2 linked regions of the Saccharomyces cerevisiae S288C genome follow. The protein of the gene in region 2 purifies or fractionates together with the protein of the main gene of each other region. This does not show direct contact. Each region holds a gene or a part of one and is shown on either strand. Other genes may lie near its edges. The genes, in order: VMS1 and ARB1.

Region 1 (4,398 bases), on a different chromosome or scaffold from region 2:
CTGGGCCATTGGTACCGGTTTGGCTGCTACTCCAGAAGATGCTCAAGATATTCACGCTTCCATCAGAAAGTTCTTGGCTTCCAAGTTGGGTGACAAGGCTGCCAGCGAATTGAGAATCTTATACGGTGGTTCCGCTAACGGTAGCAACGCCGTTACCTTCAAGGACAAGGCTGATGTCGATGGTTTCTTGGTCGGTGGTGCTTCTTTGAAGCCAGAATTTGTTGATATCATCAACTCTAGAAACTAAGATTAATATAATTATATAAAAATATTATCTTCTTTTCTTTATATCTAGTGTTATGTAAAATAAATTGATGACTACGGAAAGCTTTTTTATATTGTTTCTTTTTCATTCTGAGCCACTTAAATTTCGTGAATGTTCTTGTAAGGGACGGTAGATTTACAAGTGATACAACAAAAAGCAAGGCGCTTTTTCTAATAAAAAGAAGAAAAGCATTTAACAATTGAACACCTCTATATCAACGAAGAATATTACTTTGTCTCTAAATCCTTGTAAAATGTGTACGATCTCTATATGGGTTACTCATAAGTGTACCGAAGACTGCATTGAAAGTTTATGTTTTTTCACTGGAGGCGTCATTTTCGCGTTGAGAAGATGTTCTTATCCAAATTTCAACTGTTATATAGAAGAGCAAAAAATTGCCAAAAAAAACAACATTTATTCATTTGAAATATAAAATTTGGGCTTCTATATTTTAATATTGCTTTTCAATTACTGTTATTAAATGTAAGTACTGTGTCTATGAAAATATATGCAAATGCTAAGAAAAATCCTAAAAATTTGAATATGAGATATTCCTCAGTATTTCTTTTTCATCCTTTCTTCTGCGGCTCTAGCCCTTTGTTCTCTCATCAATCTGCGTCTCTGTTCATCGGTCAAAGAATTCAAATTTTGTTGCTGAATTGAAGGAATATTGGTTAACTTTTTGCCTGGACCCCTCTCTGCATCTTTAGCAAATCTTTGTTTTTCCTTGGCGGCTTCTAATTCCAATTTAATCAGTTTTTCTGCCTTTTCATTCTCTATTGCTTTTTTCTTTTCATTGATTTCATCAACTTGTTCTCTGCTCAATGGCTGACCGATATGAGTTTCGTCCCAATTAGTGAAAGACTCTCCAAGATTGTATCTTGCAATTTGAAACGCGTGTCTCACGTCGTCGTTTCTATTCAAATCCCACGCAGTCCTTCCTAGTCTGTTCTTGATCGTTGGATCGCATTTAATATTTGAGAGCAAAATCAGTGCCATCTGTTTCATCCCTTGCTGCGATGCATAATGTAACATGGTAGGGGTTAAGGAATATTTACTCTCAGGCTTTAACCGAAAGTTTCCATCAAGCTTATTCTTTTTTAAGAAGGATATCAATAACGGTGCCCTTCCTTTCTTCAGCAGAGAAATTATTTCTTCTGTTTGGATTTCTTCCAGTAACGGTTCTTGTTTTTCTTTAAATTCGTCCTTTTTGTTCGACACTTCTAACTTTTGTACTGTTTCTTTCACTGCCAATGGTTCAGGCTTAGGTAATATTTTCAGGTAGGAAAGTTCGCACCATGCCTTCTTCAATTCTAATACAGTGGGCCTGTTCGTGGTAAAAGGGAAGCTCTTTATCCTTTCATCACCCTTGTTCAGAACGGTATTATCAGTAAAAATTTTTTTATCACTGACATTGCGAGCTCGAATAAAAATATTATCACACTTTGACAGATAAGGTTCCCAGTCCTTCAACACACCCTGTATATCTGTTTTTAAAGCGCTTTCATTGTACCTACGAAGTGCTGAACCGGCAGAGTTAGCTTTTCCCTTTGCATTGTCCATTGCTGACTGAGAACCACCTTGCTTCCTTCTGGTAGTATACCTGTGAAACGTCTTGTGCTCTAAGAAATTGACCGCTTGCTCAATTAAGGTTTCGTCCTTCTTGTGCGCGTTCCCCTTGACATTGAGTCTTTGATGAGAAACAATTGCTCCCGCAAAATGTCCACCTCCCACCATAAACAGAGCTGAAATGGCCATTGGGTTCTCTTGCGAATTCCAAAAAGTCAAAGCTTCATTGGGGTTGGAAAGACTCCTTTTATTAAATAGAGACTTATAAATCGCCAAGACCTCATTCTTTTGAAGATACTTCGATTTGAAATAAATGTAGGGCGATTGGGTATTAATATGGCTAATAGCATCCGACTCGTCTTTTTGGAACCCTAATTTCTGCAAATCATTTTCGATTATAGTTTCCATATAATTATTAGTTTGTAGGTCCGGGTCCCGATCGCTGGCTTCCTCACTTTCTTCGTGATCGCTTGAAGTTTGCTCGCCGCCAGAATTTTCGTCTTCAGACTTGATACCATGCTCCTTAGAAATCAGCGCATCGAATTCCTCAACGGATAGGATATCCAGCCCCCTAAGGTTACGCTTAACATTCATCAAATGATAATCAGTCTGGTAGTGGGCCTTTTGTTCATTTCTGGAATCAAAGCTCATTTGACAAACACTACAACGCATAACATTTGATGTGACCTTCTTTCTTGCTATTTGGAGATCTCCAGACTCCTTGTTTCTATCATTATCAGATGTCTTCTCTACTTCAACTTCTCGCAGTGTGGAGTCAAAGCTCATCAATTTCAATGAATTCAGAAGTTGCTCAGACAAATCAAAAATATAAAGATCATTCTTTTTTAGTGAGCCAGTCATTTTACTCGCCTTTTGTGAATTCATGCTATTGGAAGCTTGTCAACAGGCGTGCAGATCTTTTGAAAATCCTTTTTCTTCGAAGGAAAGGTGATATGCATTCTCATTTATTTTCATATACCTTCATCTTTTATTTTCTTCTATTTAAGATTTTGTCACTACATCCATTCAGAGAACCTGCAAAAATAAATATCTGAAAAAAAAAAAAATCGTAATAAATATACAGAATATCGAAAAAAGAAAAAAGGCCACTTTTGAACGTTGTGAAAAAGATATTATTTACATAAACGTATATTATCACTTATAACACTATAAGAATCAATATTTCCACATTACTTCGAACCAATTCTGTGGCACTCCTCCAAGAAAAACTTGATGACGTCTGGATCCATGAAAGGGTGGGTACCGTGACCGAAATTAACAATGTAGCGGGACTTCCCACCTCCAAAAGCCTCAATCATCTGTTTAACTTTCTTTGTTATTACCTCTTTAGAACCATACATGACGCCAGGATCCAGGTTGCCCTGCAAGGTGACACGGTTCTTGTTTATTTTTACCGCTTCTCTTGGGTCCCAGGACCAGTCCAACGAAACAACGTCAAATCCTGAACAGCATAGCTTGTCCAAAGCATACCACGACCCTTTCGCAAAAACGATCATAGGAATCTGTTCCATGATACCTAATTCTTGCAATCTTTTAGGCACTCTTTCGGCAATTTGTCTTAAATATGGTAGGGAAAACTCATCAAAATCTACAGACGAAAGCTCACCACCCCAACTTTCAAAAACTTGTAGTATTTGAGCACCCGCCACGACTTGCTGACTCAGAAACTCCACGGCCACATCAGTGATTTTTTGTAATAATTTGTGAGAAAGCTCTGGATACATGTTAATCCATTGTTTGGCAAATCTGAAAAGACGGGATCCACCGCCTTCCGTCATATAAACCATTAGAGTCCAAGGTCCCCCGCAAAAGCCAAATAAGGGAACCTCACCATCCAACTTGATCCTTGTCATGGTGATTGCCTTGAAAGCCCAATCTAACTCTTTCAAAACATCAACCTTGTAGTCTAATACCGTTTGGAGGTCTTCCGGATTTCTTAAAGGTTCTGGGAAATGTGGACCTTTACCTTCGAGCATCTCGACCCTCATACCCATGGCTTGCGGAATAACTAAGATATCACTAAAAATAATAGCAGCATCAATGAGGCCTCTATAGCGTCTTACCGGCTGGATAGTAATCTCAGAAGCAATTTCCGCATCCCTGCAAGTTTGAAAGAAATCACGATTGTTTTTCACCTCGTGATATTCCGGCAGGTAACGACCTGCCTGGCGCATTATCCAGCATGGCGGTCTCTCGACTTTTTCACCCTTTGCGGCTCTCAATATCAAATCGTTTTTTGGAGCTGGAAAGTTACCCATAGCGTTATAACCTGTTCTTTGCTTTATTTTTTTTTTTTTTGTTCTTCCTTTTCTCGAAGAGAGCTTACCAAACACAATTCTGAGATAATGCTTGATGAATTGAAGAACCTATCGATCACTCTATGTTACCTTCGTCTGGAACATCACTAATTCGAGCGGTAAAGATGAAAATGGCAGAACATTTCGCTGGCAAAATTAAAACTCTTGCCTCATTTTTTTTTGCTTTCCTCTCCTGCCGCCAAAAACCCCGAACCCTGTCCTGTATATACGAGAAACATTGAAAAA
Region 2 (4,480 bases):
ATATTTTATTTTAACGATGTATGGCTCGAAATTTATTCCTTTTGGTCCCAAATGTCAAGTAACAGAATATTTCAAAGATTGTATTTTGGATATTTCTAATGAAACGACAAATGATGTTGAAATTTCTATCCTGAAGGGAATATTAAATTTGTTTTCTAAAATCAGGTAACAGTCATGATGACTGAACATTGATCTGTTGATTTGACCAGTTGACTGCTTCCCCTTCCTCTTCCAACTCTTCCATTTCCTTTATGGCAATAGAGGATGGACGGTAAACTTCAACGTCCATTATCAATGGAATCTCAAGGATATCTTTCAATATGGAAAATTGTTGCTTATTTTTGTGGTCCTTAGTAACAATATTTTCTGACTCATATTGGTAATCCTCTATCAAATGGATAACATGGCCCATCCCCATGCTCAACGCGCTCCGCACATTGCTTTCGTTGTCATCAATAAACCAGGCATTTGCAAAGCTCGACAACCCACTTTGCAATTTAGCTGTTTCGAAGAATTTTGGATCTGGCTTGCAAATGAATTCTTCCTCGATGGGTCTGTCGTAGTGGCAATAGGTTATGCCGTCAAATAGATCAGCAATACCTAATATTTTAACACATCTGATGGCATGATTTTTGTACGAGTTTGTAAACAGCCATAGTTTGTCAAATTTGCCGAGCTTCTTTTTCTTTAAATTGATCAGCAGCTCCCTTAACTTCCAATCAGGCTTTAAATAGTCTTGCAAAGGTAAGGAATCATCGATGAATGTATTATATTGTAGGACGTCATCAATTTGTTTATTCTTTATTAAACCTTTCACGGATAATCCATATTCTTGATAATACGATTCGATTAGGCGTTCTGCCTCATCGTCGTCAAACCCCAATTCGTATTTAAAGAAATTTGATAATGATTGTTGCATGAGCAATTGTACCTTCGTAGATTTTCTGTACAAAGTGTTATCGATATCAAAGAAAAATACTTTTCGAGCAGGATCCGGATCCGGTAATTTGGGAGGATCCACCTCGAAATTGATTTGTGAGCCTAGATGTGTCAAGCTTTGCAAATGCTCCTGATTTAGTCGTATCTGCTTTTTGATTTGGTTTCTATAAATTGTTCTGTAATCTTTAGCGATAGTCATGATTACGTGCGTATAAAACTTATGTGTTTTTTATCTACATTAAATCTTTTACCAACTATGCGTTAAACCGAGTTCGTATATACATATATATATATATATATATATAAACATATATTTCTATACATGTACGAATGTATTACATATGCTAAATGTATGTATATACATTATATGCACATCTCCTAATAATGAGCCATTTCAGTATTGCGGCAAATACGGAAAAACCCGCAGAAACGATCGTACAGATCCAAGAACTTGGTTTGTATGTGAAGCACGTTGCTGCCCCCTTTTTTTCTCAACCATCTCCGGCGGCGACCGCCGGCTTTTTTCTTTCTTTTTCTGGAAAAAGAAAAACCCCCTATATCACCTTTGACGTTTACTCACTAAATACGAAATGCATTACCCTAATCTCACTTTAAACGAATGAAAAAAGAAAGGTGAGGGGGGAGACCGATGGAAAAAAAAATAAAAATTTTTTTCTTTTTTTTTTTCTTCGTTCACCTCATCTCAATTAATGGCTTTTCCTTGACGTAGTTCAGGTAACTTGGTAGTGATTCTCTTATAAAAAAAAATATTATCATATTTAACATGTTAGTGCCCGTGTAGTTTTTCTTCTTCTTTCTTAACTTTTTTCTTGCAAAAATTGTTTTCTTCCCCTCAGTGCTACAAACAGTAACTTGACAGAACCAAATATGCCACCAGTATCTGCGTCAAAGGCCAAGAGAGATGCTAAGAAAGCTGAAAGAGAGGCTAAGAAAGCCGCTGCCGGTAAAACCATCAGAAAGCTAGGTAGAAAAAAGGAGGCTGCTGCTGAAGAATCGGAGGTAGATGCAGCCGCTAGAGAAATCAAGATGATGAAGTTGCAACAAGATAAGGATGGTCTTTCAGATCGTGTTGTCACTGGTGTTTTGAGTTCATTGGAGACTTCCCGTGATATCAAGCTATCTTCTGTTTCTTTACTGTTCCACGGTAAAGTTTTGATCCAAGATTCTGGTTTAGAATTAAACTACGGCCGTAGATATGGTCTTCTGGGAGAAAATGGTTGTGGTAAGTCAACATTCTTAAAGGCTCTTGCTACTAGAGAATATCCTATTCCTGAGCATATTGATATTTATTTATTGGACGAACCTGCGGAACCAAGTGAATTGTCGGCCTTGGACTACGTTGTCACTGAAGCTCAACACGAATTGAAAAGAATAGAAGACTTAGTCGAAAAGACTATCTTGGAAGATGGTCCTGAGTCCGAGTTATTAGAGCCTCTATATGAAAGAATGGACTCTTTGGATCCAGACACCTTTGAATCTAGAGCTGCTATCATTTTGATCGGTCTAGGTTTCAACAAGAAGACCATTTTGAAGAAAACCAAAGATATGTCTGGTGGATGGAAAATGCGTGTTGCGTTGGCAAAAGCTCTTTTCGTTAAGCCAACTCTATTATTGTTGGATGATCCTACTGCGCATCTGGATTTGGAAGCTTGTGTTTGGTTAGAAGAATATTTGAAGAGATTTGACAGAACTTTAGTTTTGGTGTCCCACTCTCAAGATTTCTTGAACGGTGTTTGTACCAATATGATTGACATGAGAGCTCAAAAACTAACTGCTTACGGTGGTAACTATGATTCTTATCACAAGACAAGATCCGAATTGGAAACCAATCAAATGAAACAATACAATAAACAACAAGAGGAAATCCAACATATTAAAAAATTCATTGCATCTGCTGGTACTTATGCTAACTTGGTGAAACAAGCTAAATCTAGACAAAAAATTTTGGACAAGATGGAAGCAGATGGTTTAGTCCAACCTGTCGTCCCTGACAAAGTTTTCTCATTTAGATTCCCACAAGTGGAAAGATTGCCACCACCAGTTTTAGCATTCGATGATATTTCATTTCATTATGAGAGCAACCCATCCGAAAACTTGTACGAACATTTGAACTTTGGTGTCGATATGGACTCACGTATTGCCCTTGTCGGACCAAATGGTGTTGGTAAATCCACATTGTTGAAGATTATGACCGGTGAATTGACCCCACAATCTGGCCGTGTTTCTAGACATACCCATGTCAAGTTGGGTGTCTACTCGCAACACTCTCAAGATCAACTGGACTTGACAAAATCTGCTTTAGAATTTGTCCGTGACAAGTACTCTAACATCTCACAAGATTTCCAATTCTGGAGAGGCCAACTAGGTCGCTACGGGCTAACCGGGGAAGGTCAAACCGTTCAAATGGCTACCTTGTCAGAAGGTCAACGTTCTCGTGTCGTCTTTGCTTTATTAGCTTTAGAACAACCAAATGTCCTACTATTAGATGAACCTACCAATGGTTTGGATATCCCAACCATCGACTCCTTGGCCGACGCCATCAACGAATTTAACGGTGGTGTCGTCGTCGTTTCGCATGATTTCAGATTATTAGACAAAATTGCCCAAGATATTTTCGTTGTGGAAAACAAGACCGCTACCAGATGGGACGGATCCATTTTGCAATATAAGAACAAATTGGCCAAGAACGTTGTTTTGTAATTGTGAAGTTGATCTGCGCCGTGCACGTTTTTACTTCCCCTTTTATGTATTTTAATAGCAATAATTTATATAACTAATCAATCAATAAAGAAAGAAAATCACCGATAACAATGTGAAGGCAAGAAGATATAACAATGACTTCTCCGTATGTGTAAGAATATGAGGGTAATTGCGTAAAAATGTATATAAATGCCATCTTTATGAATAATCCGACCTAAATAAAACCCCAAAAAAAAAAATGAGAGCCCGCCCGCTCAAGTAGAAATAAAAAAATTTACAATCACAGCTACTCAAACAAAACTAGGTTTGGGTAGCGCTGCCTCATGTGGGATATCTGTTGTGAACGAAGCACCGGCAAAGGCCGTATGACCAGCTACGTGCGGTTTCGAATCGATCGACGCCGCCGCCCTATCCTGGTACTGTCTCGTTTTCTTCTTCTTGTATTTGCACGATTTTTTTTTAGGGGCCTTATCATGTAGGAAGGCATCTATGTTAACAGTGACCATCGTTGCCTTATCGTCCTCGTGTCCCGTCTTCGAGGTGCGTTCCCTAGGTTCTCGCCGCTGTTTTGTAGACTTACCGAAGTTTGGTTTCTTGCCATTGGGCAAACTCTGCGTCGGTGGAACTAATATTTGAGTTTTAGTGGGGCGCATGTGCTCCTTGGCGGAAGGAGGACTTTCCCTTGTGACAATCTTGACTTTTGCAGAATGTTTTGTCTCGGAACCCATTATGAGAGATATTTAATTTTGACTATTATAAAAACGTTTGTGTTTGAGTTTCTGTTAGTGTATAACTTTGTATGTAGTGACGTTATTGTCCG

Evidence for each region.
Region 1: the proteins of ARB1 (region 2) and VMS1 purify together in Saccharomyces cerevisiae (affinity purification with mass spectrometry; 2 studies listed by BioGRID). This does not show direct contact.

Annotation. Positions count from the first base shown.
Region 1 is NC_001136.10:551,575-555,972, reverse strand, and holds VMS1 (Vms1p), read right to left. Parts: upstream 2,720-4,398; coding exon 821-2,719; downstream 1-820. Other genes in the region: triose-phosphate isomerase TPI1, read left to right, coding at 1-247; uroporphyrinogen decarboxylase HEM12, read right to left, coding at 3,025-4,113. UniProt on the Saccharomyces cerevisiae protein: Endonuclease that cleaves polypeptidyl-tRNAs downstream of the ribosome-associated quality control (RQC) pathway to release incompletely synthesized polypeptides for degradation.
Region 2 is NC_001137.3:222,547-227,026, reverse strand, and holds ARB1 (ATP-binding cassette family ATPase ARB1), read left to right. Parts: upstream 1-1,827; coding exon 1,828-3,660; downstream 3,661-4,480. Other genes in the region: Smc5-Smc6 complex subunit KRE29, read left to right, coding at 1-169; PHM8 (bifunctional nucleotidase/lysophosphatidic acid phosphatase), read right to left, coding at 173-1,138; EDC2 (Edc2p), read right to left, coding at 3,951-4,388. UniProt on the Saccharomyces cerevisiae protein: ATPase that stimulates 40S and 60S ribosome biogenesis.